Linked DNA regions of Ovis aries. The main gene of each other region encodes a partner of the protein of the gene in region 2 in a complex. Links are inferred from orthologs where the notes say so. Each region holds a gene or a part of one and is shown on either strand. Other genes may lie near its edges.

Region 1 (10,342 bases), on a different chromosome or scaffold from region 2:
GTCATGGCCTGCTCAAGCACAGCCGCGAGTTTTTGGACTTCTTCTGGGACATTGCGAAGCCGCAGCAGGAGACGCGGCTTGAGGCTACAGAGAAGCTGCTGGAATATCTGCGCGCAAAGCCGAAGGTATGGTGGCGGGGTCTGGGGCAGGAGCACCAGAGATCCTGGCTAGTAGCGGCGAGCTTGGGGTCACGTGGTCGCGAACCTGGACGACCCAAGTGAGCGCGCGCCGAGGAGCGGGCATGGGCGGGTGCCAAACGACCCTTCTCACTGGTCCACCTGGGGATGTGCTTGGTTCCTTAGGGATCTTCCGAGATGAAGTACGCCCTGAAGCGCCTAATCACTGGGCTCGGGGGTGGACGAGAAGCAGCCCGGCCCTGCTACAGTTTGGCCCTGGCACAGGTGAGGTGGTGGCCCCTGGAAGGGGTCCACCTGTGCTGGTCAGGTAGGGGAGTGAGTGAGCAGAGCAGATGTCCCAGCTGCAAGGGACGTGAGAACTGACAAGTAGGGGTAGCATCTCAGGCGAGCCGATGGGAGGTGTGCCCACGTGGATGCGGAGAAAATTGTGTAAGCAAGGCCTTTGTGCAGAGAAGCCCAGGAAGGCGGAGAGAGGGAGGTTGAGGCTGCTTTTGGGTACCTGGGTTGACCAGCCTCCGAGGTACATGTACTGGGGGTGGTAAGCTCTGGGGTGAGTTCTGTTACCTCTGCAGGGTTTAGGACCCTCTTCTCCCAAGGGGCACACAGCTAATTATAAGCCATATCTAAGGAGCCTGGACAAATGGAAGGCCTCTAGAGACCCAGTCCTTGAAGACCAGTCTAGGGAGAGCTCAGAGCTGGCTGTGGGGACAGCATGTTTGGGAAACACAGTCTAGTGGCCAAAGCACCCCAGCTACACGTGGGACAGGGAGAGAGGGGTCAGCTCCATTCACAGCTATGTTCCATCATCAGCACTGCTCAGAGGCAGGTAGGCAGCTTCAGAGGCATCCTTGGGGCGGGAGCAGGGGCCCAAGGCCTGCTCCCAAGGGCAGAAGTTGAAGAAGTAGGAAGAGATTAACGTCTGTTGGGATGTGGCAGGGCCACTCCCCCTGAGCCCCTCTCTTCCTCCTGGCAGCTGTTACAGTCTTTCGAAGACATCCCTTTGGGCAGCATCCTGCAGCAAATACAGGAGAGACATGACCTGCAGAAGGTTAAGAAGGTGAGAGTTAGCAGCCCCAGGGATATCAGCAGTCCCCAGGGTGGGAAATGCTTGGGTCCTTCTCACGGGTGCCTGGAATCCTTTTCTAGGGGATGATGAGACCTGCCCTCTTTGGAAACCTGTTTGGGGTGCTAGCCCTCTTTCAGTCAGGCAGGCTAGTGAAGGTAAGAGCTTTGAGGGTTCTGGGGGTATGTGGACTGGCTTGGAGTGGTGGGGGAGAGTGGCACGCCCCACTCATACCCTCTCTGCCTCTGGGACCACCAGGACTCAGAAGCACTGATGAAGTCAGTGAAGCTGCTGCAGGCCCTGGGCCAGCATTACAATCACCTTCAGGAACAGCCCCAGAAGGCCCTGGTGGACATCCTTTCTCAGGTATGGGCTCACCAGCTGTGGAGCCTTGGGTAACTAACGCCACCCGTCATAGAAGAGCACGGAGAAGACACAGGTTAATGCATGAAAATGCGGTACCGAAGCATAAATGTGGAACATGATGTTTTGTAGTAACTTCCCTTAAAAAGTAAGAAGGAAAAGGGATGTGCTTTAATAACATGGTTTAGTTTAATATCTAAAGTATTTTCATGTGCAGTCAGTATCAGAAAATCTATGGAGGTTTTTTACATTCTTTATCGTGGTAAGTCTCCAAAATCCAGTGTATTTTATACTCACCAGCATATCTCTGTTCAGATTAGCACATTTTACATGCTCAGTGTCCACATGTGACCAGTGGCTTCCATATTGGACCATGCATTTGTAGAACAGCGCCTGACATGTGCCCGGTGGGTTAAACATGTTTGCCATTGTTGTTTTGGGCAGAGCTGGGGTCCCCACTGCCCTACTTGGGAAGTGGAGGTGGGCTAGTACCTAGAATCCTTGCTATGGTGAAAAAGCCAGGGACTGGCACATCCCAGGCCAAGGCTTTCTGCATAACCCTGGCCACAGAGCTGGAAGGACCTGAATTCAAGTCCCAGATCTTCACTGGGGACTCCTTATAAAAAAAATGCTAGTCCTGCAAAACCCACAAGAGGAATAATTAAAAGGGTGGTCCTGGGCTAGTTAGCATCAGTGGGGTGCTTATTTATTTAAACCCAGTTTCCAAGGATTTGGGAATTTGCGCTTTTTAAGAAACCCTCTCTGGTGATTCTGTTGCCTGACAAGGTGGATTGTGACTGTCCCGTCTCAGGCTGTTGGTGTGCCGGGGCCTTGGGGGAGCCTGGGAGGTAGAATGGGGCCCAGAAAGCTCAGCTCACAGCAGGAGAGACAAAGGATGCTGTGAGGGCGCCCTCCGCACCCTCAACCTGTCTCCCCCACCGCCAGGTCCCGGAGACCGCGCTGCAGGAGATCCTGCCCAAGGTCCTCAAGCCTGACATGAATTCAGTTCTCGGCTCCCCTGAGCACCTGGAGCTCTTCCTCTTGGCCCAGCAGAAGGTGCCCAAGAAGCTGGAGAAGCTGATGGGACCGGTCAACCTGTTCTTGGACGAGAACATCCCCAGGTGTGAGGGAGGTGGGCAGGTGGGCCCTCCATCCACAGGTTTGCACCATGACCCGGGGTTGGGGGTCCATGTGGCCCCAGGCGCCTGGCCCTTGTTTGCTGGGGACTGCCCCCTGAGTCTTCTTCACCCCCACCCACCCCCGACCTCTGCAGGCTGGTGACTGTGCTGAAGACGGTGGCCAACTCTGTGAAGAAGGAACGCAAGCTGCCCACCGTGGCTCTGGACCTGCTCCGCCTGGCGCTCCAGGAGGACAAGTTCCCATGGTTCTGGAAGGAGGTTGTGGAGCAGGGGCTCCTGAAGAAGCAGTTCTGGCCGGCCAGGTGTGTGGGCGCTTGACCTCTCCCTATTTGGTGAGCAGGGGTGGCTCAGGGGGCCGAGGGCTCTGACCAGGCCCTGTCGTGCGCCCCCTCAGCTACCTGTGCTTCCGCCTGCTGGGCGCAGCCCTGCCCCTGCTGTCCAAGGAGCAGCTGCAGCTGGTGATGCAAGGGGACCTGATCCGACATTACGGGGAGCACATGGTCACCGCTAAGGTGAGCGCCGCCCCGCGGCCCAACCCTGCTGGAAGGGGCCAGGTGACTGGGCTGCTTCCTGCCCAGAGGAGGAAAGGGATCAGCCAGCTTCTGGAAGAGAGGGTGGTTCTTGGTGTCAGTGGTCCTGCCTGGGATGGGCAAACACAGCTGCCCCTGGGAGGAGGGGCTGGGGACCTGGGTGTCCCCCACCTCTGGGTAGAGGGAGCTGCCTGAGAGCCGACCCCCAGCCCTGCATCTTCCCCTACGAACCGAGAGTGGCAGGGTCAGCCCTTCTGCCCCCAGGCCGCTCAGCCCGGGCTTGTACAGCCAGCAATCTGTCCAGACCCCCCTCCACCCCCAGCTGGTGTTACAGGAATGCTACCCACCGATGCTATTTTGAGTACTGTCCACATGCCGCACACTAAGCTAAGTGCTCGACAGGGGACTCGAGTAGTGGTTAAGAGCAGGGAACCTGGGACCAGACTGCTGGGTTCCTGTCCTGACTCTACTGCCGCTAGCTGTGTGACCTCCCACAGGTCGCTTCCCTTCTCTGTGCCTGCCCCTGCCCCTGCCTCTGAGCCAAGGAGCAGGACCTTCCTTAGAGTCGTTGTGAGGATAATCAGGCTAATATCCACAGGTGCTTAAAGTAGTGCCTGGTGTGCAGGAAGTGCTGCTGGGTTTGCTTCTAGCTCATTCCATCTTTACCGCCAGCTTTGGAGAGCTGCCATTCCCCTCTTCCAAGTGAAGGACAGGCTCAGAGTTCAGCGCAGGGGTTAAGAGCTCCACGGGCTGGGGGACCAGACGGACAGGGGCCGAGTCCCAGCTCCACCACTTTTAGTCCTGTGATCCTCGGAAGTTGCTTCCAGGCTTTCTTATGCTTCATTTTCCTTCATCTGCAAAACAATTAGAGGTGCCAGGACGAAAGTTGTCCCAAAGACTAAATGTGGGGGCGCCTGAGCGACCCAGCTGGGTACAAGGGAGGGGACTTCCTAGGCCCCAGGGAACCTGTTGTGGAAGAGGCTGGGGGTGTGTTGGACCCCTCCTGGCTGATGACCCCAGCGCTATGCCCGACTCTCGCAGCTCCCGAAGCACTTCAAGTTTGCCCCGGAGATGAACGAGTACGTGGGGGCCTTCCTGGAAGGCTGCAAGGACGACCCCGAGCGGCAGCTGGCCCTGGTAGTGGCCTTCACGTCCATCACCAACCAGGGCCTCCCTGTGGTGCCCACCTTCTGGCGGGTCGTGCAGTTCCTGAGTCCCACCGCCCTCAAGGGCTACGTGGCCTGGCTGCGGGACATGTTCCTCCAGCCTGACCTGGACTCCTTGGTGGACTTCAGCACCTACAACCAGAAGAAAACCCAAGATGCTTCGTTCCATGGGTGAGTGGGCCTGTGGGGCCCAAAGGCCTGGACCCTCCGTCCCAAATACCTTGGTTCCTTGGGCCAGAGAGGAGCCAGACCTTTGCTCTTAAAGGCCTCAGTTTCCTCACACGTGGCCCTGTGCTGGGGATCAGGGCGTTGGGGAGCCTTGGTTGATTTTCCCGTCTCAAGGATGGGAGACACCCATTTCACCACCTCTAAGCAGTTTCCGGGACTTGTCTCCTGCCCACAGGCCCGAGCGAGCTGTGTTCCGGCTGCGGAAGTGGATTATCCTTCGCCTGGTCAGCATCATGGACAACCTGCACGTGGAGAAGGAGGAGGCGCTGATCGAGGAAGTGGCCAGGTATGGTCCCGAGATGTGCCTGAACCCTGACTTCCCACGGATGCAGTGACCTCATGTCTGACCTGCTTTGGGTCCTTCCTGGAGCCAAAAGCCTGAGGGTCAAGTCATCCTTGCCCCTTGGGCAGGACGAGATTGGGGGAAATTCCCCAGGGAGTCTGGGTATGGCGGGGGGGGGGAGCTCCAAGGTTCAGGCTGGCTCAGCATTCCCCCCACTGCCTTTGTGTGTCAACGGTGTCGGGGGTCCTTAATGACGACGCTGCCACTGCTACTCACCCTCATGGCGGCCCTGAGTGGGGCAGGAGCGGCGGTGACCTGGCCGAGGCCACGCAGCTTCGCGTCTTTGGTTCCAAGGGAGGGATGCTGGTCCTCTCCCGGTTCAGGCTGGGCTCTGTTCTGCTGGGGGTCCAGGCCTGGGAAACGTCCCCTCTGGCGTCATCGCCTCCTGGCACCAGGCCCTCGGTGAGGCCACCCGAGAGTGGCTGGTGAGGAGGGTGGCACTGACCGAGGGAACACGAGTACCCTCCCACCCTCCCCAGGTTTTGCTTCTTCCACTCGTTCTTCGAGACAAAGAAGCCCACGTCGCAGATCCCTGAGTCCGAGCAGCACTTCACCCTCGCCTTGGATGGCCGGACCCGGGAGGTGGTGTGCAGTGCCTTCTTCAGGTGGGCACCGGGAAGCCCAGGAGAGGCCTGAGGGTGGGCGAGTAGGCGGGGAGGTGGCCTCGGGCAGGGTGGGCGCTACTCTCTCCAGCTCTTCATCTGAGGCCCGGTGAGTTCCAGGGGCTCAAAGCCTGGGGATGGAGTAGGGTAGCCGTGTCTACCAGCCCAGCCCGTGACCCTGACCGCCCCCGCCTACCCCACCACCACCAGTCTGCTTCAGACCCTCAGCACGCAGTTCAGGCTGGCGCCGGAGCAGACGGCAGACGGGCGGCCCTGGACCTACCACTTGGTGCAGTTCGCAGACATACTGCTGAATCACAGCCGCAATGTGGCTCCACTGACAGCCTTCACCACGCAGCAGCGCCAAGCCTGGGACCGGTGAGAGGGTGTGGTTGCCGCCCGTGGGTAGAACCTCCCGGGGTCTGACACTGGACACATGGGTGGGATCCCCTGGGGTCTGACGCTGGCTGCATGGGTGGGATCCCCTGGGGTCTGACACTGGCTGTGGTGGCCTGAGAGCATGCTCATCTCGCCCAGGATGCTGAAGACGCTGAAGGAACTGGACACTCTCTCTTCTGAGGCCAAGGCCACTGCCTTCCAGCACCTGCTACTCTTGGTGGGCATCCACCTCTTCAAGGTACGGCGGCCTGAAGTGGAGGGGGCTACAGACCTAGGGTCTGCGGGGGCCAGGAACAGCTCTGTGGAGCTGAACGTGACAGGTTTCCTAGGCTGACTGCTCCTGGTTGGAAGTACAGCCCAAGGGAAAAACCACTCCATCCACTTACTGGACACCAGCTCTACCTTGAGCTTCCCTGGTGGCTCAGACAGTAAAGAATCTGCCTTCAGTGTGAAAGACCCGGGTTCAATCCCTGGGTCGGGAAGATCCCCTGGAGAAGGAAATGCCAACCCACTCCAGTATTCTTGCCTGGAGAATTCCATGGACAGAGGAGTTTGGCAGGCTACAGTCCATGGGGTTGCAAAGTCAGACACAACTGAGCAGCTAACATGCTCTATTCTGAGCTTTCTGAGCAGTGTCCGTTGTTGGTATTACCCACAGATTGGAGGCAGGCACATTTCTGACAGGTGGGATAATAGACTCACAGAGGTCAAGTAACTTACCCCAGGCCACACAGCTTTTGGCTGGGATTCAAACATGGGGCTCTGACTCGCTATCTCATAGGACCTCCCCAAACTACCTTACTGGCCAGGGGTGGTGGATGTCGAGGAGGGCGGGGCCTGGCTCTGGGCAGACCCGTCGACCATGGGGACACTTCTTCTGTCTGGCTGTGGTCCGTTCGGAGTGGAGCCGCGATTCTTCTGTTTAGCTCTTGCACGTTTGGAATCTAGAGTGGTGAGTTGAGGGTAGTGGGTGTTTTTCTGGCACCGCCCTCCCATGGCGTCCTGTATCCTGTCAACTATATTTCTCATGTCATGGGTACCTCTTCTCATAACCGGTTCTCTAAAACCCACTCCGTCTCCTTTTCTGTTCTTTCCACAAAGAAATTTTGGCCGTGTGCGGAGCGTACTGCCGACAGCGCTTTTGACCCTTGTGGTTTCCTCTGACTGTGAACTCAGGTCTCTGGAGGTTTTCCCCTCAAGTTGTGCAAGGCTCTTGTGGGTTGCTCCAGGTCTTCAGTAGCCTCAGGAGACAGGACTCCCTTCTGGCCTCTCGGCTGAGGTTTTTGCTTCCAGGCCTTGGGCACTCAGCCCAGCTCATGGACAAGCAGTGTGGGGAACAGTTGGTCACCATGCCCCTTCCAGTCCTTGGCCCTGGACATCCAATAGGGGCTGCCCAGACCCTGGACCTCTGAGCTTGACATGGATGAAAGCTACCCAGCCACAGCCAGGACGCTAGAGGCAAAGATGCCTGAGGCTTTTGAGCTCCTGTTCTGGCCTTCCTTCCACCACCCCCACCCCAAACATTGAAGCTGCCCTGCAACATTAAGGAGGGGAAGTCTGCCTTTTTGGTACCAGCGGTCAAACAGGTTAATTTCAACTCACTGGACTCTGGTCTTATCCTTCAGCAAAATAGACTTGAAAGGACTGTGAAAGTTGGTCAGTTGTGTTCGACTCTTTGTGATCCCATGGACTATACAGTCCATGGAATTCTCCAGGCCAGAATCCTGGAGTGGGTAGCCTTTCCCTTCTCCAGGGCTTTCCAACCCAGGTCTCCCACATTGCAGGCAGATTCTTTACAGCTGAGCCACAAAGGAAGCCCAAGATAGACTTAAGTTAGTTGAAATTAAATTTTAAATTTGTTGAAATCGGTCATTTCCAGTTCTTTTTGTAATGATGTCGAGCCAGGTGTCGTGGCGGAATCTAGAACTGCAGATCAGGAGTCTGGGACCTGCTGGTGCCCTGTGATCCTGATCCAGCCTGGGCATCGGTGGGGAGGTTGGGCTTCATCTTCTGTGAGGCTCATAAACTGTGTGTCTGGATGTTAGGTCATCAGCTCCTGGGGTCTGGCTGTAGGCCTCTGCTCTAGATTGTGAGGGGGACCGGCCAGGACAGTCTGGAGTCTTTTGGGCCTTGATACCAGGTCCGCCCCCTTGGTCACTCCCTCTCCCAGCTGAGCAAAGGCTGAGCATGGGGCCTGGCCTCTGATTTCTGTCCTGTCCCACACAGTCCCCCGCAGAAAGCTGTGACCTCCTGGGCGACATCCAGACCTGCATCAAGAAGAGCCTGGGGGAGAAGACCCGCCGGACCCGTTCCAAGGCCACCAGTGGGTTGTCGTCCCTGGGGCGGGGGGCGGGTAATAGGCAGACAGTAGGACCCAGCATGGGGTGCTCAGACCTGCTCCAAGGCCACCAGTGGGTCGTCGTCCCTGGTGGGGGGTGATGGGCAAACAGCATGGGTCACTGGCCCCCTGCCCAGGCTCACCCCTTCCCTGCTTGCAGACCCCCAGGAGCCGCCATGGGTGGAGGTGCTGGTGGAGATCCTGCTCTCCCTCTTGGCCCAGCCCAGCCACCTGATGCGCCAGGTAGCCCGCAGCGTGTTCGGCCACATCTGCTCCCATCTGACCCTACGTGCCCTGCAGCTCATCCTGAATGTAAGTGGGGGCCTCTGGGGACGTGGGTCCCAGGATGGGGCTCTCCAAGCCCAGGGCTGCTGTGTCCTTGCTGTGACCTGCATGGTTGGGGGATGGAGGCCTCCTTCAGAGTCTCCTGCTGTGCACCCCTGACTCGGGGTCAGGTCTCTCAAGGACACTGGAGGGAATGGCTTTCTCTCCCAGGCTCCATCTTCCTGCCTGAAATGGGGACCTTTGGCCAAGACTGGATGGGAGGGGGAAGGAAGGCAGTTGAGAAGGTCCCGGGGCCTGAGGGGGTGGTGAGGGAGCAGGGACAGCAGACACGACGGCCACCTGGGACTCCCCACAGGTGCTGAACCCGGAGGAGAGCCAGGACGAGGACGACAACGTGGTGGTGACAGACGACTCCGAGGAGCAGCCGCTGGGGGGTGTGGAGGTACTTGTCAGCAAAGGGCAGGGGGCGGGCGGACACCTGGTGGGCCGTGGGGAGGCGTGACACACGGCCCACCCACAGGACAAGAGCTCAGACGGCGAGGACAGCAAGGGCAGCAAAGGCTCAGAGAGTGAGGAGGAGAGCGATGACGACAGCGACGAGGAGGACCGAGACGGGGACGTGGACCAGGGCTTCCGGGAGCAGCTGATGGCGGTGCTGCAGGCCAGGAAGGCGCTGGTGAGTGGGCACCGGGCCCCGCCCCCCCCCGCCCCCGTCCCTCTGCTCCTTCTGCATGAGGAGGGGCTCACCCGGCCTCTGTCCCCCCGCCCACAACCCCCAGGGCGGAGCGGACAGTGAGGATGACGACGACGAGGAGCTAGGGGACGAGGCCATGATGGCCCTGGACAAGAGCCTGGCCAGCCTCTTTGCTGAGCAGAAGCTGCGCATCCAGGCCCGGAAGGACGAGAAGAACAAGCTGCAGAAGGAGAAGGCGCTGCGGCGGGACTTCCAGATCCGGGTGAGCCCGGGCCCTGCCCTCCCGCTCACCACGCCCCTCCCCCCACGCCCCTCCCGCTCACCACGCCCTCGCCCCCGCCCTCGCCCCCACGCTTGGCTGAGCTCACCCTTCTCACTGCAGGTCCTAGACCTGATCGAGGTGCTGGTGACCAAGCAGCCCGAGAACCCCCTGGTCCTGGAGCTGCTCGAGCCGCTGCTGCTCGTCATCCGGCGGAGCATGCGCAGCAACAGCAGCGCCAAGCAGGAGCAGGACCTGCTGCACAAGACGGCGCGCATCTTCACGTGAGGGCGGAAGGGGGGGCCCGGACAGCCGGGCCGGGGGGCTCCCGGAGGGAAGAGGTGGGAGCCAGGGCCCGCGTCACTCAGGAGCCTTCACCCATCTGTTCCTGCAGTGCTTAGCGCAGGGCCCCCAGTCCCACCGACGCCCTCAGGGCCCCTGTAGTTGGCAAAGCAGACTCGGTGCCCGATTGGCCGGGGCTGTGGCAGCGAGTGGGCGGGAGATGGGACACCTAACCCAGTCTTGAGGGACCGGGAAGGCTTCCTGGGAGAGGTGTCAGCAGTGCTGGGAGCTGTGGAGCTCGCTTATCCTCCCAGAGGCCACAGGCAGAACAGGAAGGCGTGTCTGACACAGTCAGAACATAAGCAGCTTGTGGCCTGGCCGACCTCAGTGTTGAGGAGCCACAGAGGCCTTTGCAGCAACAGCAGAGGTGGGGTGAGGTGGGGTGGGCGCTGCTGGAGCAGGGCGCCCAGCAATGGAGACATAGATAGCAGATAGAGCCCTGCTTCCTGGGCAA
Region 2 (9,468 bases):
CTTTCTCTAGTTGTAGCGAGCGGGGGCTGCTTTTTGTTGCTGGTGCATGGGTTTCTCATTGTGGTGGCTTCTCTTGTTGTGGATTTCTGGCTCATGGGTTCTTGGGTTTCAGTAGTTGCAGCATATGGACTCTAAAGTGTGGGCTCAATAATTATGTGCATAGGCTTAGTTGGTCTGGGCATGTGGTATTTTCCCTGGCCAGGGATCAAAGACATGTCCTCTGCATTGGCAGGCAGATTCTTATCCACTGTACCACCAGGGAAGTCCCATCTTAAAGTTTTAATAGTAGGAGCCAGCTGTTCTCAACACACTGACTAGCTAAATAGTATCTTTAGAATATTCCATTTTCATAATTTCTCTGTATTTCCTTGGAAAAGCAGTAAATTGATTTTTCCCTCCTTTTTTTTTAGTTAGTTGATACTACTGTGGAGTTGGCAAACAAAGTAGGTGCAGCAGAAATTATATCCAGAATTGTGGATGATCTAAAAGATGAAGCTGAACAGTACAGAAAAATGGTTATGGAGACAATTGAGAAAATCATGGGCAACTTGGGAGCAGCAGATATTGATCATAAACTTGAAGAACAACTGATTGATGGTATTCTTTATGCTTTCCAAGAACAGACTACAGAGGTAATGATACTAATTATTATGGCAAGTTGTCATTGGCTCTCATATTTGTAAAAAGTAGTTTCAAGGAAATATCACTAAAGAGTAATTAAAAATTTTAAATGCTCATATTTGTGCAGTTAACTACAAAGAAATGTTCTTTTACATCACATTTTTAGAATAAGTTTTTGGAAGCTGAATATTAGTATATTTTAACTGTTTTGTCACAAACTGAATTCTTGTTCACATTGAATATAGTTTTTAAATTTAACTTGGCCTTTTTTTTTTTTTTTTTTTAATAAGGACTCAGTAATGTTGAACGGCTTTGGTACAGTGGTCAATGCTCTTGGCAAACGAGTCAAACCTTACTTGCCTCAGATCTGTGGTACAGTTTTGTGGCGTTTAAATAACAAATCAGCAAAAGTTAGGCAGCAGGCAGCTGACTTGATCTCTCGAACAGCTGTTGTCATGAAGACTTGTCAAGAGGTAAACTTCTATATCAGATTCTTACTTATTCACCGAAAGAAATAGGATAAACAGTAACATTTAATCATTTTTTTCTTTTTAAACAGGAAAAATTGATGGGGCATTTGGGTGTTGTTTTGTATGAGTATTTGGGTGAAGAGTACCCTGAAGTTTTGGGCAGCATTCTTGGAGCACTGAAGGCCATTGTAAATGTAATAGGTATGGAATTCATTGGTTATGGAAGAATTTTTTGTTTTTTGCTTTTTAAAAGTTCTTTGGATTTTTTGAAAGTAAAATACAGAATCCTATTTAGGAGTTGAGTGATGATATCTGATATAATTTTTTAACTACTAAAAATATAGTTAAGTTGGGATGTCACATGAATCTTACCTCCCAAAACCTATTTATATTTTACTTTAAAAGAGAAAAGAGGGCAAGTTTTAGGACCTGCAAGAGAGGAGTGAATAGTCACAACTCAAAAACTTTGAAGTCATGGGTTAAGAGGGCCCTAAAAATACAGTGTTTCACCTGGAATATATAGGAGGGCAATGGTGGGTGGAGAGAACTCTGAAATTTTAAGACTAAATATGATATATTTACTCAACTTGAGTAAAATGGTTATGGCAGGTTTTCCTGCTTGCCATGAAGTTCAAGGAATGATAACCTGGGAGAAAAGTGAATCAATCAAATAATCTCTCATTATTTAAATCCAATACTTTTAAACTACCCTTTCAGCTTTTTACCCAAAATTAAAACAAGTATATTTCAAATTCTTTTGGGTGTGGAGAATAAAGCTTTTATTCTTTAAAGGCCTTTTGATGGAGCAATAAATATGGTCTTGTGTTTTATTCTTCATTGTAATTGAATAGAACTATTGCAGACTTGTGCAGAGTTTGGAGGGGCAGAAATAACCTATCAGGAGGTTGAAATAAGCCACTATTTTTCTTGTTTTAGTAAAGGGTTTTTATGCAATATAGGATGTCTTTAAACCATTGCATTTACATACAAATCACAGTTCAGCCCTGTCCTCTATATTTGGAGCTAAAAATCAGTTATTTGGCCACTTGTGGGGCTCTGGTTTGCAAGGAATTATAAACCATATTGTTGGTCAGAGAAACATGGGAAAAGCAATGGAGAGAGAATCAGAGCAAGCAATTCTAGTTAGAACAAGAGCCCCTGCCAGCTGCCTCCTTTTTTCTCTCTTCGTAGGTGTAAATACCATCCAAGTATGCCCTGCATTGCAGGGAGACTGGAGATCTGTTTGTTTTGCAGTTAAAGGGTAAGGGGGCCCTTTCTGGAAAATTTTGCTTTAATTTACATGTCTCCCTCTGGCTTATATTGTTGTGTATGGCCGGAACATAAGCTGTCCCCATATTTAAATGTCAGTGTACAAATACATTTCAGAACTAAATGGAATTTTTTGTTGTTGAGTATCCATCATTCTTTAAATCACTTCACTAATTTCTTTCATTTTTATACATACATAATGAGAAGTTGTTAATGAAAAGTTAAAAATTCTGCGTTTGGTCAGAATCTGGGGCTTTTTCTTTCTATAGGCAGCTGTAAGTTTGTATTTATGCCTAGTCACATATATTACATTGTTAAGTGAAAGATAAAATGAGCAAAGCTTGCAGTTTACATGTTAATTGATAGTGTGTTGACTTTCGTTAAATAGGTATGCATAAGATGACCCCACCAATTAAAGATCTGCTGCCTAGACTCACCCCCATCTTAAAGAATAGGCATGAAAAAGTACAGGAGAATTGTATTGATCTTGTTGGGCGTATTGCTGATAGGTAAGCAGATTACCTAAATATTTTTAAAGTAGTATTGATTTTTACATTTTTATTCACTTGGCAAATTTGCTAATGTAAGTATATATGGTCAGGCTAATATTTTCAGTGAAATTTCAGTTTGAATGGTAATGAGGGAGTAGCAGTATATTTTTAAATTTTGCTTTTATCTAAAAATAATCCATCTCTTCTGAACAGTAACAATTTATATAATGCTTAAAATGAGTTGGTAATCATGTCTTGAGAACTGAATTTTTGAATTAACCTTTTAAAATTTATTGTCATGAACAAATTAAACTTTTATTTTTAAACCAGGGGAGCTGAATATGTGTCTGCAAGAGAATGGATGAGGATTTGCTTTGAGCTTTTAGAGCTCTTAAAAGCACACAAAAAAGCTATTCGTAGAGCCACAGTCAACACATTTGGTTATATTGCAAAGGCCATTGGGTGAGTATTATTTACGTCTTTTTTTTTTAACTTTGTAGTAGACTGATTTAGCGTTAAAAGATGCTTCTGTTTCTGTAAGCTCTTTTAAGGTAAGGTATGAGTAATGCAGTTAAAATAGACTTTAATGACCTTCAATATTTGAAATGTTTTCTTTCCTCTTAAATTGAATTAAAATAGAAGGGTATAAAATTTCATTTAATAACATTTCAGTGTTTGCAGAAAGGGAAACATTTCAGAAGGATTTCAGGTTTTGTTGATTCTTTTTGGTTATTTAAAATATTAAGGCCAGTTCTTTTTGGATATCGCTAAAATAGTTAACATAGTTCAATTCTCAACTTAATACTTCATGTGTTTTGAAAATATTTTTCTAGAATTAATCCACTGACAACTAAAAATTATAACTATTTTGTTAGATAATCTGTGGTTATTTGCTTTCACTCCACCAGAACCAAACTAGAACAGTCATTGTAGAAAATGAGATATTTCATGTACATGTGGCATAATAACAAGATATTCTCAAACATAACAAAAGTTGATTATATAATTAGAGTCTCCTCCACCCCTTTTTTGGTAGCTGTAGTATGTTTTCATTTGTGATGAAAGTCAAGCAATTTGCAGTGAATACCTGTGCTAATATAATCTTTTAGTTCCTGTATCCCTTTAAATTTGTGGTAAGATAAATCCTTAAAGAAGGAGAATAAATGTGGTAAAGGTCTGTGGGCGGGAAGATAAAAGGGAAACAGATTTTGTATGTTACGGCATGGGAGACCATGTTCTGACCACTCAAAGAATTCTCAGACTAAACATGTAATGAAATGATATTTCATTCAATGAAATTTATTAAAAACTGAATTATATTTGAAAATGAGTCTATTTGAATATTTTCATAAGAGTGAACATTTTAATTAAAATGAATTTGTTAAGTAGAAACAATAATGCCATAGCATAAAATTACTGAGTTCCATCCTTTGATCATTTTTCTTCCCTCTGAAAAAAATTTTGACTTGTATACTAACAGTTTGCTGACACATTTATTTTTTTCCAGCCCTCATGATGTATTGGCTACACTTCTCAACAACCTAAAAGTTCAGGAAAGGCAGAACAGAGTTTGTACAACTGTGGCCATAGCTATTGTCGCTGAAACATGTTCACCCTTCACAGTACTACCTGCCTTAATGAATGAATACAGAGTTCCTGAACTGAATGTCCAAAATGGAGTGTTAAAGTCACTTTCCTTCTTGTTTGAATATATTGGTGAAATGGGAAAGGACTACATTTATGCTGTAACACCACTACTTGAGGATGCTTTAATGGATAGGTAAGTGACTTGAACTAAGCACAAGAAAATAGTTAAAATAATTCTTTTATTTTAGAGAACTTATTGAAGTAATCATTAGATGACCTGCTTGTTGTGATGTAGTTAAAGAAAGGACTACTAGCCTGGATTTTATGAAACTATTAATGTGACTGTTATCTCCAAATAAGGTATATGATATAGTACTTTTCCTGGTGGTCCTCTGGTTAAGAAGCCACCTGCCAAAACAGGGGAATCTTCCTGGTCTGGGAAGATTCCAGTGCCATGAGGCAACTAAGCCCGTGCAGTGCAACTACTGAGCCTGTGCCCTGCAACAAGAGAAGTCACCACAATTAAGAGTAGCCCCTGCTCTCTGCCGCTAGAGAAAGCCCTTGTGCAGCAGCAAAGATCCTGCACAGCCAAAGGGAAAAAAAGATACATGCTATAATGGTTCCCCCAATTTTTTCTCCCAAGTGTGCCCCCTCTTCATTTTAACCGCCTCCCCCCCCCCCCTTTTTCTTTTGGCCATGTTATGAGGCTTGTGAGAGCTTACTTAGCTGACCAGGGATTGAACCCTGGCACCAATAGTGGAAGCGCTGAGTCCTAACAACTGGACCATCAGGGAATTTCCAATCAACTTTTGTTTTAAAAATTACAAAGAAAATGATGAGCATGAGCTTATTGATGTAACAGAGAGACCTGATCTTTTTAGCTTTTTGTTATGGCAGGTGAAGCAGAGACACTTTTAACTACTGAACATAGCCTGCCAGAGCCACACTATTGTCACTGCAGGCCCCCAATTATTCAGATGGTGACCCCTGATAAAGTATTGCTGGAGGTGATTGATACAGTCCTAATACCAAGAAACATTACTTTAGTTGGGAAATTTACCAAGGAGGAATACAGATTCATTATAATCTATGCCTAATAGATTATTATAATAAATAAGAGAAATAAAGATGCTAGTAACTAAGTCGGTTCAGGTGCTTTTTTTTTCCTCTTAAGGTTTAAGAGAAAAAAGTATTTTTTTCTCTTAAATACCTTTCAGGTTCTCTTCTTGCCTTCGAGGGTAAAACGTGTGAACTTGTTTTTATACCTATCATAGACGTTTTATCTGATACTTGTACTCAGTTGAATAAATTATGGAATAAATAAGTCAATGATTTGTCATAAAGTCAGTCAAAACATGGGAGGTGATAAAAGTTCTTTTTTCTGGGTTTCAAAAAATTATTAGTCCTTCTCTTCCTTTCCCCAAATTGAACTCTTGAATGAATCTTTTTAAAAAACCACAAGGGAAGGGATTTAATCTCATTTTATTTATTTACTGTATACAGTATTGAATTACTTCCGAAGATTTTAAATTTACAGAGTTTAAAATGAGATATTACTGTTAATTGTTCGTATGTTAAGAGTCATGTATCCTCTCTTATTTTTAGTAGCTTGCAAAAATACACATTGTGCTGGGCCTTCTTGCTCCTGTTACTCTGAAAGAAAAATATAGCTTATTTTTGAGCCATTGTGAGCAGGTTTGAATCATCAAAGCAAAAGTTCTCAAGTATAATCATCAGTCATTCTTAAGGTATCCTATGTCAGATACACGAGGTGTAAGGATGACTCTGCATCCATTCCAAGCACTGAATTTGTGATTTAGTTTCTAACAGGCATGCAAGTATTTTCTGTGAAACTAAGACTGCATCTTAATAAAAAGCTTTTTCCCCTCTCCATTACAGGGACCTTGTACACAGACAGACTGCTAGTGCAGTGGTGCAACACATGTCACTTGGGGTTTATGGATTTGGTTGCGAAGATTCGCTGAATCACTTGTTGAACTATGTATGGCCCAATGTGTTCGAGACATCTCCCCATGTAATTCAGGCAGTTATGGGGGCCCTGGAGGGTCTGAGAGTTGCTATTGGACCATGTAGAATGCTACAGTATTGTTTACAGGTAGGTTAAAGGTTTTTTAAACAGTATTCATTGAAAAAATAATGTAGTTGAATTAAGTCACTGTTCCTAATTATCATTAGGGAAGATATATTTGTGCCATATGGGAAAACAGTTATGAGGGGAGAGAAGATTAGATTTTGTCCTTGCCCACTTCAGTTTTATGAAATTGACATCTTTTTTTTTCCTCTCTCAAAGGGAGATGTTTAGAACCATATCTTTATGGTTTGTTTGTTAGTTGTGTTAAGGTTATGTATTTCTTGAAATAATATAACCTTTTAATTATTCTAGGGTTTGTTTCACCCAGCCCGGAAAGTCAGAGATGTGTATTGGAAAATTTACAACTCCATCTACATCGGTTCACAGGATGCTCTCATAGCACATTACCCAAGAATCTACAATGATGATAAGAACACCTATATTCGTTATGAACTTGACTATATCTTGTAACTTTATTGTTTATTTTGTGTTTAATGCACAGCTGTTTCACACCTTAAACTTGCTTTGATTTGGTGATGTAAACTTTTAAACATTGCAGATCAGCGTAGACCTGGTCTTAGAGGAAGAGCTAGAAATCCAGTAGCATGATTTTTAAATAACCTTTGTTTTTGATGTTAAGCAGTAAACGCCAGTAGTGACCAAGAACACAGTGATTACACACACTATACTGGAGGGCTTTCATTTTTAATTCATGTTTATGAAGATTTAGAATTCATTCCTTGTGTTTAAAGGGAATGTTTAATTGAGAAATAAACGTTTGTGTACAAAATGCTAACTTGTGTGTGTTTTTTGAACATGACTTGTAAAATGCGGAACTTTGATAAAGTACTGGTTTCTGTAGAATAAGTGGCTTAATATCGTTTTCTGTCACCTGGTTTATAGAGAGTAGTTAGTAGAATACAAGCTATATAAAGTGATGGTATCTTTGTCAAAATTCCATTGCTCTGTTGATAAAGACATTAGGAAGAGTAGCTTTGAGGGTGTTAACCTCAAACTAGCACAACCCTTCCATCACCTTAGAAAATATAGCACCTTTGCTGAACTGTCTTTAATATTATTTTGCACTTGCATAGCGCCTTTCATCTCTTGATTTCTCAAAATGCTTATGAATTTGCTTAAGGGAAGTAATTGAAGTCATATCCAACTCGTGACAATTCTGTTTAGAATGTGGGAAAAGTAGCTTAAACTTCTACTTGTAGGGAGTGAGGCTACCTCTAAGTCATGCTAGTTAGAATAAGACAATCTTTTGAGTTCTTTGCCCATGTCATGTCGTAAGCCACTACTCAACAGTATATACCTGTTAAGCACCTACTGTATGTCAGCCATTGTGGTTAGTTGTAGGGATGCAGAGGTACTTCTGACCTGCCTCTTGCCCTTAGGAAATACAGTATAGTGGAAAAGGGGAAACATCTAGTTACAGATTACTTATGTACTAATACTACACAATGGCAGCAGCTGAAATGTCTAGGTTTGCTTAGTTTTGCTTAAGTATCAGGTAACATCAATCAATTTATCAGATAATGATCAATAGGTGTTGAGCATAAGCTCAAATGCCATTCAAATTTAGAAGAACCAAGCATTAATACAGTACTTTTTTTTAATAATAAAGTATATCTTTGTTTTTCCCTAGTTGGCCAAAACTTTTTTAGTTTTAGGTGTTAATCTTCCCATAGCTATTTTAGTTTATCTCCTTATGTTATAGTACTTAACATGAACTCTGATGAGAAACGAGCTGCCGCAGAAGCCTAAACAATATAGTGACTCTTGCCACAGTAAGGAAAACCAATATCCTGAGATTAGGTTAATTTATTGAACTGTTAATACTTAGGGCTCCCTGTTCTGGAGGCTTACTTGAGAAATAGCTTATAATTGGCTGACTTGTACAAAATTGATACTGAGCATTAGCTGATCAGGCAGAATTAGTGACTAGTTTCTTATGTGACATAACTTCATGACAACATGTCAGTGGTACAAAATTTCCAAAGTCATCTATTTTTAGAAGTTACTGTAACGGTATCCCCTGTACAACTTTAAATCTTGCTGTTCTCTTTTATGCTCGAGGTCAGATCACCTTCAGTAATTACTAATTGTGAAAATTGAAGAATACAATGAAATTTCAAAGCCAAGATTTGCTTTTAAACCAGTCTTTGGAAAATTTAGTTACATACTCAGGTTTTTGCATAAGTTCAGTTTGCTTTGGCCTTTGATGTTTATGTGAAACATCTGTGCTTTGTAGTGGCAGTGTGGAGCAAAGACAATTGGAAGTGGTTTTTTACTGATTCGAAAACTTGAGGACAGAGGTGAGACAAATACTGAGGCCTGTGATCGTAAAAGTTGGGACCAAATGAGGCTCACAAATGTTTGAATTATTTTATATGCTTCTGGAATAAGGAAAGCATTTTGTGAGATACTTACATGAAAGACGCTATGTGATGTTTTAACAAAGACTTTTTCTTTCGCACTTTCCTTTGGTGTTTCTTAAAGCCAAACTTAAAAGGAAGAAATTAATGTTCTGAGGGGACAGTGGGTGGGTTTTTCTGTGGGCTTTTGTTGGTTTTCCTGTGGGCCCTCTAATGGAATTGATCTCTCTGGCTGTTCAATTTTTTTCTTATTGTATTTTTAAAGATTGTTGTATGGTGCCCTGTGAGCATCAAGTACCACCAGATGAATAAAACTTATTATATCCAAAGTCTTAGACTAGTTTTTAATCTTAGTTGATTTTGTATTATTACTGCACTACACTGTTGTGGTTGTGCCATTTTAATGGTCTTGAACTCTGGTTTTTTTTCCAATTAAGGGAACTTAATGTTGAAAAACCAAAGAATACTGTTTCTTAATAAAGAACTGAAAAAAAAACAGTTGGAGCCATATAGGTTCAGTTGTTTGGTTCTCTGGTGTTTAGTGCTTCCTAAATCTT
Region 3 (10,342 bases), on a different chromosome or scaffold from region 2:
TCACTCTCTAGAATGATTTCTCATGTTCTAGTTCACTCTCATTTCTCCAAGTAAGTCAGGCACATTTCTCCTACTTACCCATCAACTTACAGGCCTATCAACATGCCTCCCAGGCAAGGTGAAGTATATTTCCCCCATCCCCAAAATAACTGATAAATGAATAAACAAATTTTACCCTCTTGAGACATTTTTGCCAATTCTGGAACTTCAACATAGAAGTTTTTTCTGAATGGTTCATATTCAATTTTTCCATGATCCACTGGTTCTAGAAGCTTTCTCTGCTTTGTCTGGTAACCTGTAAGAGCTGTCTGAAGATCAACTTCTTCCTCCTCTGAAGAATACTGTAACAAAAAGAGAAAAACTAAGAGCTGAATCTATTACTGTCTTCCTATGGGAAGAAATATTCCTAACTTAAAAAATGTTCCACTCCTAGAAAATACTCTTTTCCTCTTCTTTTATTTTCTGAACTTTCCAACTTAGCTTATTTTTTCTTTGCCATCATAGAAAGCTTTAGTAACAATATAAAGCTAAAACAAAAAACTAATTCTAACATAGCTTTAATGAAGTTCTGCTATAGTTTTCTCTATATAAATCATTACAATAAAGTTTTCTCTATATAAATCATTACAGTGAGTGTTAATAGTAAAAAATTTCATTCTGTCACTTCATTTCTTCTCTCCCTATTCTACATCTGGGATGTACTGATGAGGGACAGGGATGAATCAAAATTTGGCCTACACATGTGCAGCAATACAGATGAACCCAGACAACATCATACCATGTGGAGTCAGTCAGAGAAAGATAAATACTATATGATATCACTTGAATGTGCAATCAAAAAAATACTACAAATGAATTTATTTTCAAAACAGAAACGGACTCACAGACATAGAAAACAAACTTCTGGCCACCAAAGGGGAATAGGAAGGAGGGATAAATTAGGAATGCGGGATTAATAGATACAAACTACTATACATAAAATAAGCAACAAGGATTTACTGTACAATGCTGGAGACCTGGGTTCAATCCCTGGGTCAGAAAGATCCCGTGGAGAAGGCAATGGCTATCCACTCTAGTATTCTTGCCTGAGAAATCCATGGACAGAGGAGCCTGGTGGGCTACAGTCCATGGGATAGCAAAGAGTCGGACATACTGAATGACTAATATTTTCACTTTTCACACTTTCAAAGGGAATTACATGCAATATCTTGTAATAACTTATAATGAAAAAGAATCTAAAAATATGTATGTGTGTGTATACCTGAATCACGTTGCTGTACACTTGAAACTAATACTATATTGCAAATCAACTATACTTCAATTTAAAAAAAAGTAGGTATACAAGAAGTTAAAGAGGTTAAAATGTTCTACCAGTTTGGATATCTGGCTACAATACTGTTGAGAAAAGCAAGAATTTCTCCCAAGAGTACACTGCGTAACTGAAAAGCACACCTCCATCAATGCTTCCTTATAAATACTCATAGGATGGTACCACGTGCTGTGTGCTCAGTCGTGTCCGACTCTCTGTGATCCCACAGACCATGGCCCACTAGGCTCCCTTGTTCATGGAATCCTCCAGGCAAGAATACTGGAGCGGGCTGCTGTTTCATTCTATGGTATCGTGAACAAAGTTAAAATTAAAGTTACCTCCATGGCATCCTGGTCATTCTCCATTAGCTCACCTTTCTTCTTATCAGAATCTACGACTGCTTTTTTGGTTGTGACAACTGTGACAACTTTTGTGACCGTTGGCCCAGACTTCTAAAAAAAGAATGTGAAATATTTTGCTAAAGTTGAAACACAAAGTATAAACCAAATGAAACAATGATAACTGTAACAATTTATAATCTGAATTAACTTAGTAGTCAGTGACTACTAATGCAAAAACAAACAGTAGCCCACTTTCTCCTTACTTAAATTTAAAAATGTAATACAACAGCATTATATTTCCTAACACATTAACACACAGGTAATTAGGTATGTAGTATGTAATTTTATATAATATTATGTAATCTATTTTTAAAATACTATTAAATAGTACTTTTCACTCATTCCACAAACCAAATACTATCCCAGGATCTGAAGATGAATCAATAAACAAAACAGGTAAAGATCACTGCTCTTGGGAAGATTTTAGAAGAAAGAAGGAACAAGCAAACACAACATTGAATTACACCATTTGTCAATAAATTCTATTAAGAAAAAGAAAACCTAGACTAAAGAGGATCAGGAGTATAAAATATGGGAGTGTTGGAAAAGGACCTACTGAGAAAGGAACAAGCAAGCAAAAACACTAAACAAAGATGATAATAGTAATGATGACTCTAAAAGGACATTTGCAGTTACAATTTGCTAGTATCTCTGCTCTTTAGAAAAAGCACAGACACTTCTGAGATGCAGAAGGAAACAAAATCATTAACTTTATAAAGCCATGCAAGCCAATAGTAGGTCAATGCAACAATGAATTCAAGTTATTCAACTAGGAATATAAATCTTTAAAAATAAAATAGGAAAAAAATCCCATACCTTTTCATTTCCCCCACCACCTTTCACACTTCTCATATTAAACTTTTTTACTTCCTCTTTCACTTCTTCCATGTAAGCATCTAATGGATCTAACTCCTCACCCTCCATTTCATTTCCTTCCTTTTCAGCCTCTGCAGGATCATCTTCATCATCTAAAATATCAGAACATACTTTGAATATGTGTTTCAAAAGGGATTATTTCACAATCCGACCATGCCCCTATTAAGAAGCCTTTTCTCTTAACTACCCAAATACCTTCCTTATCAATTAACCCAGGCACAATACAGTTCAAATACTCATACTGGCAAGGTTTTAAATCAAACAAGCATTAGTTTTGAATAATACTAATAATAAAAGAAATAAATGATAAACTATTAAACTGAAAAGAGGAAGAAACACTAATACGTCTGAAAAATGGATCTCTGGTATTATTTTACAACCACACTAACAGAAGCAAAACTAAAAACTTTGCTAAAAGGATATGCTTATTTCGCTTCTTTCAATCACTTTTCTTTAATCACAGGAAGAAAAAATTAATAGTATATTGCAGCCCACCAGGCTCCTCCATCCACGGGATTTTCCAGGCAAGAGTACTGGAGTGGGTTGCCGTTGCCTTCTCCGAAAGACAGTCTCATGTTTTTTACATAACTATCACCAGGGAAGCCTGGTGTGTTGCAGTCCATGGGCTCACAGAGTCAGACACAACTTAGTGACTGAACAACAACATCACCACCATTTAAAGACATAATCCATTAATCTATTTAGAACAAAACACCCTGGTGAACTTCCACAGAAAATGAAAAATTCACAGGGATTTTCACAAAAAAAATGGAGCAAAATTCCCTTTTCCTATAAAACCTCATTATTCCACTTAACTAACATCTTACGCATCAAAATCAGTTGTGAAGTTGCATTTAGTTGCACTGAGCAGCTTCAGCTGCATTCAACAAATTCTGATAAATTCTCTTTCATTTTTATTCTGCTACAAATATTTTCTAATTTTCCTTATTATGATTTCTTAGATACAACCATCATTTAAAAGTGGACATTTTCTGTCCAAACACATGGAGTTTTTAAAGTATCCTTGATATTAATTTCTCATTTTGATACTAATTTCTCATTTACTTGCTTTCTTCGTTGCAATCACTCTGTTTCTTCAGTCTCTTAACTTTACTGAGACTTTCAATGATTATGTCAAAATTCTCTCTTGGTAAATGTCACACTGCACTTGAAATATGTGTGTTATTTTCAAATATCTTTTAATATTGATTTCTAATACAATTTCACCATGATAAGAGAACAGACTGTATGATTTTAATACCCATAGACTATTTTTGCACTTTGCTTTATGTCCCTGGATATGTTCCAGTGTCCCCTGGTTCACAGTCTATGGAAACTTGAATAGAATTTGTATCCTGCCTTGGTGTGAAAACTGTATAAATCTTAATTATGTTGAATTGGTTCATAGTGCTTTTGAGGTCTACTATATCCTTCTACTTTCCTGTCTATTCATTCCATTAACTTTTGAGAGTTTGATATTGAAACTCCAACTAAAAACCTTAATTTATCTACTTAAAAAATAATTGTAATATATAGTGGAAATATATGTAACTTTTTTCTGTATTTTCCAAATCTCCTGTAAATGTACTATCATAGTTTCATAATTTAAAAAAGAAAAAAATAATCAAGATGTGCAGGGGAAATGTTGCTCTTCTAAGTTAGGAAAAAAATCAGAGGGACTTGGAAACATGCCCTTAACTTACCCTCACTACTAACATCTGAAGTAAAAAAATTAAAGAGCTATTTACTGACTGCCCATAAGCATCCAACTCTCCACTCTAAAGTAAAATCAGTGATCCTTACTGCACGCTACTCTACAATTAAAACTTTAAATATGAAAAGGGGCATTGAAAAACCTCAAAATAAATCTAGTGACTCTATTTCTAGCTATAAACCCAAAAGAACTGAAAGTTGGGATTCAATCAGATATGCACAAACCAACACTCACAGAAGCATTATTCGAAATAGTCAAAAGATGGAAACAACTTATATATGCAACAACAGCTGAATAGGTAAACAAAATGTGGTATATACATACAACGTAATACTATCAGACTTAAAAGGGAAGGAAATTATGATATAGACTACAACATGGATGAACCTTGAAAACACTTTGCTAAATAAAATAAACCTAGTCACAAGACAAATACTACACGATTCCATTTATTAAGGTACCTAGAATAAGCAAATTCACAGAATCAGAAAGTAGATTAGATGTTATTAGAAATGAAGAGGTACGGGAAGGCAGGATAGAGAATTACTGTTGAATAAGGCAGAGGTTTTGTTTGGAATGATGAATACTGTTGAATAAGGCAGTTTTGTTTGGAATTTTGTTTGGAAAGTTCTAGAAATGGGCAGTTGTGATGGCTGCACAACACTGTGAATTTGCTTAACATCACTGAAATGTACACTTAAAAATGGTTAAAATAGTAAATATTATGTGTATTTTTTCATGATAAAAAATAGTCTATCACTTATAACCCTAGAATATTATACATGAATTGCTGTTTAGGCTACTAGCAAACAAATGAACATACCATCATCATCTTCTAAGCTCCACTTTTTCCCTTGTTTCATCTCTTCGATTTCCTTTTTCAGTTCCCCTATGTTTTCCATGGCCTTTTTACGTTGCTCTTCTCGCCATTTTTCTACTCTTTCTTTTCGCTTTCTCATTTCTTCTTCTAGCTTATTCTGGTCAAAGTTCTTGGGGTGAAAATGAAAAATAGAAGAAAATAAGGATCAACAGTTTTACTCCTACTGACACTCCAAATAACTTTTTCAAAGTATAAAAAAAGAAAAGGAAAAACAGGTATCTACACAAAACTCCTAAATTCTGACCAGATTTAGATTACACATCTTTTTAATATATTAAGGAATAAACTAACAAAATGAAATCACAATCAAAAGTATCTTCAACTAATAAACCAGAAAAGTGAAGTCGCTCAGTCGTGTCCAACTCTGCAACCCCATGGACTGTAGCCTACCAGGCTCCCCCATCCACGGGATTTTCCAGGCAAGAATACTAGAGGGGGTTGCCATTTCCTCCTCCAGGTGATCATCCCAACCCAGGGATCAAACCCAGGTCTCCCGCATTGTAGGCAAACGCTTTACCACCCAAGCCACCAGGGAAGCCAAACACAAACTTCAAATACTATAACTTACTCTCCTTTTAGTTACTACCAATATGCACACATGAACTCAACCTCTCCCTCAAAGTGGAAACTAAAAGAACTGGCAAGCAAAGTTCCCTAATTATTACTCTCAACTGTAAATCCTTTAAACTTCTCCAAGACTGCCTCCATGAGAAGGATTTTTTATCACAATTTTCTATTTCAAACAAGTGAGTAAATGAAAGTTATTTATCAAAATCTTTAAGAAGTTCTGATCTTTTAGCCTTTAGGTCTAAGTTTTCTAGGAACAGCCATTCTAAAGCTTGTATCATGATTATCAACTATACTCTTCAAAGGAAAGACAAATCATTTTCACAGGCATAATCAAGGACTTAAAGATTAAGCATCATAAATATCAAAATTTTATACATGCTGCTGCTGCTGCTAAGTCGCTTCAGTTGTGTCCAACTCTCTGTAACCCCCATAGATGGCAGCCCTGGGATTTTCCAGGCAAGAACACTGGAGTGGGTTGCCATTTCCTTCTCCAATGCATGAAAGTGAAAAGTGAAAGTGAAGTCGCTCAGTCGTGTCCGACTCCTAGTGACCCCATGGACTGTAGCCTACCAGGCTCCTCCATCCATGCTACAATTATATAAATAGGTATAGAAACACACATGTAAAAAAACAGTCAAAGAAAATACTAATAAACTGCAATATTGATGGCGTTTGGGTATCTAGAATTACAGAGAATTACTTCTGACTTTCCAAGTATTTTATAATATGGTTATATTTATATTTTAAAAATAAATTTATTTCTTAAACAAACAAAACCTGTGTCCCTGAATTTACATCCTTCATAATTCCATACTCTCTGAAGATGAGCCCCAGAAAGCTTATGTTTTTTTCTCAAGGTCACCCAGTCATTCCACAGTAGAAACTAAATCAGAAACCAGACCTCCAGACTTCTTGTGTTAATTTCTTAGATAACCTGCTCAGCAAACAGTTCCCTTAAAAAAAGAACCACTAAAAACAAAAATTAGATCTCAAAAAAAAAGGAAATGAAGCTATAATATATTGTAAAATGGGCAAAAGCTATGAATAGGCAATTCAAAGAAAAGTGCAGATAGTAGATAAACTTAAAATGCCTTATTTAATTATTGGTTTACATTATGTTCATAGCACTTAAAAATATTTACTCATGTTAAAGACATACAACTCAAAATAACAAGAAATCAATTACCTCCTATAACATCTGCAAAAATTAAATTTCAAAATACCCATGTTGGCAGGAATGTGAGGAAACAGACATTTTCACGTCTAAAATCTTAATTTTTACAATATTTGTGGAGGGCAATTTGATACTATCGATCAAAATGTTAAATCTTTAGAGCCAGCCCTCTGGACCTGAACCCTCATCCTCCAAATTCAACTAACTGGATCAAAAATACGCAGGAAAAGAGAATTCCAGAAAGTTCTCAAAATCAAAACCTGAATTTGCCCTAGGCTGGCAACCGCTCACACAGGATTTACATTGTATTTACAATGATTCACACAGCATCTACATCATATTAGGTATCATAAGTGATCTAGAGATGACAACCTATGCAGGGAGGATACCCACGGTTATACTAAGTCATTTTATATGAAGGAATTGAACATCTGAAGGTTTTGCTATCCAAAGGGGTCCTGTAACCAATCCCCCTCCGATACTGAGGGAAAGCTATATACCCACTGACAAAGGAATTTATTTTACTGGTATTAATTTACCCTATACTATATTCACAGAACACATGTGTACTAGGATTAATCTACCATTGTTTATAATTGTGGACTACAGACAGCCTAAATACCCATTTACCTTTTCTTCAACAAAACACTATGCAGGCATTAAAAACAACAAACACTACCTATGTAAACAGGTACATAAAGATATCCAAAATTTAACAAAAGGAAAAAAAAAGGTATTCTACTTAAGTTCGAATCTTTGTATACTGCGATTTATTATTAGGACCTTATATACTGATATATATTGATAAAGTAATTCATAATTTTAAAGCAACAAAAAAGCAAGGTACAGAATAGGGCATATAGTACGATCACATTTTATATATAAAAGTAGATAATGTGTATAGATATGTAACTTTCAGAAAAATGTTCTCATGGGGAAAACTATCATTTTATATTTATTTTATAAATTTGCTATCATTTACTTAAAAATAAAACATATAGCAGTAAAACCAAAAACTAGTCACTACAGAAACAAACTCAATACTATACTATTATTTATGTTAGTAAACATACACCAGCATCCTTTTCTTTTTCATCCTCTTTGTCATCTTTGTCTTTTTTCTTCTCTTTAGAACTTTCTCCACTATCCGTTTTCTCTTTGGATCTAGACCTGCCAAAAAAAAGAGAGAGAGGGGGACATCATCTATCTGTTTTTGGAAACATTCATTTTAAAACACTTAGACTTGTGTTTTACTTTTTAAATAAGAAATAAATTTCTAGGCTCAGCTGAATTTTTATATACCGTTAATAAGCAACTTGGAAATACAATGAAGAATTAATCCCAGAACACTAACTGCAAATATTACTCCATATCTGAAAACTGACCAAAGGTAAATTGGACACAGCATATAAAAATAATTACAAAAATTTAAACAAGAAATTTAAAACTTGAACAAATGGAGAATTATACCAAAACATTAAGTCTATAAGATAACTGATATATGTAATAATATTTCAAATCCCAACAAGCTTGCATTTTGACCTTATGGCATCTAAAAATGAGTTAAATTCCTTAATTGGACTATAATCAAATTAGTTGACCTTTCCCCTCCTTTATGATTGGTGCTTTTAAGAGGACTTCCCTGGTGGCTCAGTGGTAAAGAATCCATCTGCGAATGAAGAGGACATGGGTTTGGGGAAGATTCCACATGCCACAGGACAACTACACCTGTGAGCTCTAACTACTGAAGCCACAGCATCTAGAGCCTGTGCTCCACAACAAGAGAAACCACTGCAATGAGAAGCCTGCACGCCACAACAAACAGTAGCCTCCGCTCACTGCAATTAGAGAAAGCCCACGTGCAGCCAAGACTCAGCATAGCCATAAATAATAAATCAATCAATCTTAAAGATGAGGCATCCAGAAATTGTTCCAATTTTGATGAAGATACTCAGAGGTAAAGAAGATATTCTCTAGCATAAACTTCTAAGAAGTTTATAGCTTTGCCATCTTACTTGGTTTTTAATCTGTTTGGAAATGTTTTTTGCGCACAGAATGAGGTGGCCCGTCCTATTTTATCAGAGGATAGCAAATGTTCCTGACACCATTTACTGGAAACACTTTTCCCCACTATTTATGATGCCACCATAGTCATTTATTAAATGATCTTATATGTGTAGATTTGATTCTAGGTTCTTTATAAGGTTTCAGTAATCTATTTGTTTACCCCTACAATAAAGCCACACTCTTGATTTCTACTTTATAGACAAGCCTTGATACCTGGTAGTGAAAGTCCTTATATCTTGTTCTTTGAAAGTGCTTCCTAATTTTATAACCAGTTTGTTAAATACTTTTCTATTCATGTTTGCCAACACTTTTAAACATTAATGTGTGTTGAAGTTAATAAGATGCTTTTCCTGAATCTACTTAAGTAACCATGGCTTTTCTCCTTGAATCTTGGATCACACTGATAAAGAGTTTCTAATGTTAAATCAACTTTCCATTCCTGGTATAAACCCAACTAGTTTATGATCTGTCTTATCTTTTTGATGTACTGGTAAAGCAGCATGCTAATCTTTTATGCTCAGACTGAGTACAGCCTATAATTTTCACACTGCCCTTGTCAGGTTTTCCTCATCCTTTTATTAACTGCCTTCATTTTATGAATGTTTCTTCCTTCCAAGTCTTTGTTCCTCAAAAGTATCATTACAGAGAAAGAGATAAATCAGAGTAAAAATATCTGCCACTCATATAACAAATGACAATTATATGGAACATTTAAAAACAAAAACTTCTATAAATCAATTTTTTAAAAAGAAAAACCAATAGGAAAATGAGAAAAAGGTTTAAACATGTATTTTTTAAAACATGTACTTTAGAAGAAGAAATCTGAATGACCAAAAAACATACGGAAAGGTGTTTAACTTCACCAGTAATCAAAGAAATGCAAATTAATACCATAATGATATTTTTATTACATGTCTATCAAATAAAAATTTAAAGGAATGACAATACCTAATACTGGGTATGAAGGGACACAATTCTCATATACTGCTGGAAGTGTAATTAGTATATACTCCTTGGAAAGCATTTGGGATTACTTAGTTAAAGTGAAGCTATGTTTATTCTATGACAATGTAACTTCATTCCTAGCTATACACCTAAGGGAAACGCATACATGTGTATATGCTACTATGCTTAATCGCTCAGTGGTGTCCAACTCCGGAACTCGGGTCTCCTGCAATGCAGGTGGATTATTCACTGAGCCGCCACGGAAGCCCATACCCATGGATACTAGGATATATATATACAAAGATGGTCATAACAGCCTCAGAGGTAACACAACTCAAACATCCAGCTCAGCAGAATGGATAAATAAAGCGGAATATTTATATTACGGGGCTTCCAAGATGGCTCA

What was found.
Region 1: SF3B1 (region 2) and MYBBP1A share a complex: the UniProt entries of both Homo sapiens proteins name them as parts of the B-WICH complex. The link is inferred for Ovis aries from reciprocal best matches to the Homo sapiens genes SF3B1 and MYBBP1A.
Region 3: SF3B1 (region 2) and DDX46 share a complex: the UniProt entries of both Homo sapiens proteins name them as parts of the 17S U2 SnRNP complex. The link is inferred for Ovis aries from reciprocal best matches to the Homo sapiens genes SF3B1 and DDX46.

What each region holds. Positions count from the first base shown.
Region 1 is NC_056064.1:24,904,970-24,915,311, reverse strand, and holds part of MYBBP1A (myb-binding protein 1A), read left to right. Parts: coding exon 1-125; intron 126-302; coding exon 303-401; intron 402-1,110; coding exon 1,111-1,194; intron 1,195-1,283; coding exon 1,284-1,358; intron 1,359-1,458; coding exon 1,459-1,566; intron 1,567-1,884; exon of another isoform or gene 1,885-1,961; coding exon of another isoform or gene 1,962-1,970; intron 1,971-2,508; coding exon 2,509-2,684; intron 2,685-2,836; coding exon 2,837-3,004; intron 3,005-3,096; coding exon 3,097-3,214; intron 3,215-4,273; coding exon 4,274-4,569; intron 4,570-4,801; coding exon 4,802-4,912; intron 4,913-5,448; coding exon 5,449-5,574; intron 5,575-5,781; coding exon 5,782-5,949; intron 5,950-6,108; coding exon 6,109-6,208; intron 6,209-8,196; coding exon 8,197-8,293; intron 8,294-8,468; coding exon 8,469-8,620; intron 8,621-8,948; coding exon 8,949-9,035; intron 9,036-9,113; coding exon 9,114-9,269; intron 9,270-9,372; coding exon 9,373-9,549; intron 9,550-9,669; coding exon 9,670-9,830; and 1 more. UniProt on the Homo sapiens protein: May activate or repress transcription via interactions with sequence specific DNA-binding proteins. Repression may be mediated at least in part by histone deacetylase activity (HDAC activity).
Region 2 is NC_056055.1:199,699,022-199,708,489, reverse strand, and holds the end of SF3B1 (splicing factor 3B subunit 1), read left to right. Parts: intron 1-410; coding exon 411-632; intron 633-911; coding exon 912-1,094; intron 1,095-1,180; coding exon 1,181-1,292; intron 1,293-2,748; coding exon 2,749-2,869; intron 2,870-3,181; coding exon 3,182-3,313; intron 3,314-4,358; coding exon 4,359-4,631; intron 4,632-6,337; coding exon 6,338-6,554; intron 6,555-6,842; coding exon 6,843-7,001; 3' UTR 7,002-7,326; downstream 7,327-9,468. UniProt on the Homo sapiens protein: Component of the 17S U2 SnRNP complex of the spliceosome, a large ribonucleoprotein complex that removes introns from transcribed pre-mRNAs.
Region 3 is NC_056058.1:43,894,486-43,904,827, reverse strand, and holds part of DDX46 (probable ATP-dependent RNA helicase DDX46), read right to left. Parts: intron 8,095-10,342; coding exon 7,998-8,094; intron 5,290-7,997; coding exon 5,124-5,289; intron 2,679-5,123; coding exon 2,527-2,678; intron 1,762-2,526; coding exon 1,648-1,761; intron 342-1,647; coding exon 176-341; intron 1-175. UniProt on the Homo sapiens protein: Component of the 17S U2 SnRNP complex of the spliceosome, a large ribonucleoprotein complex that removes introns from transcribed pre-mRNAs.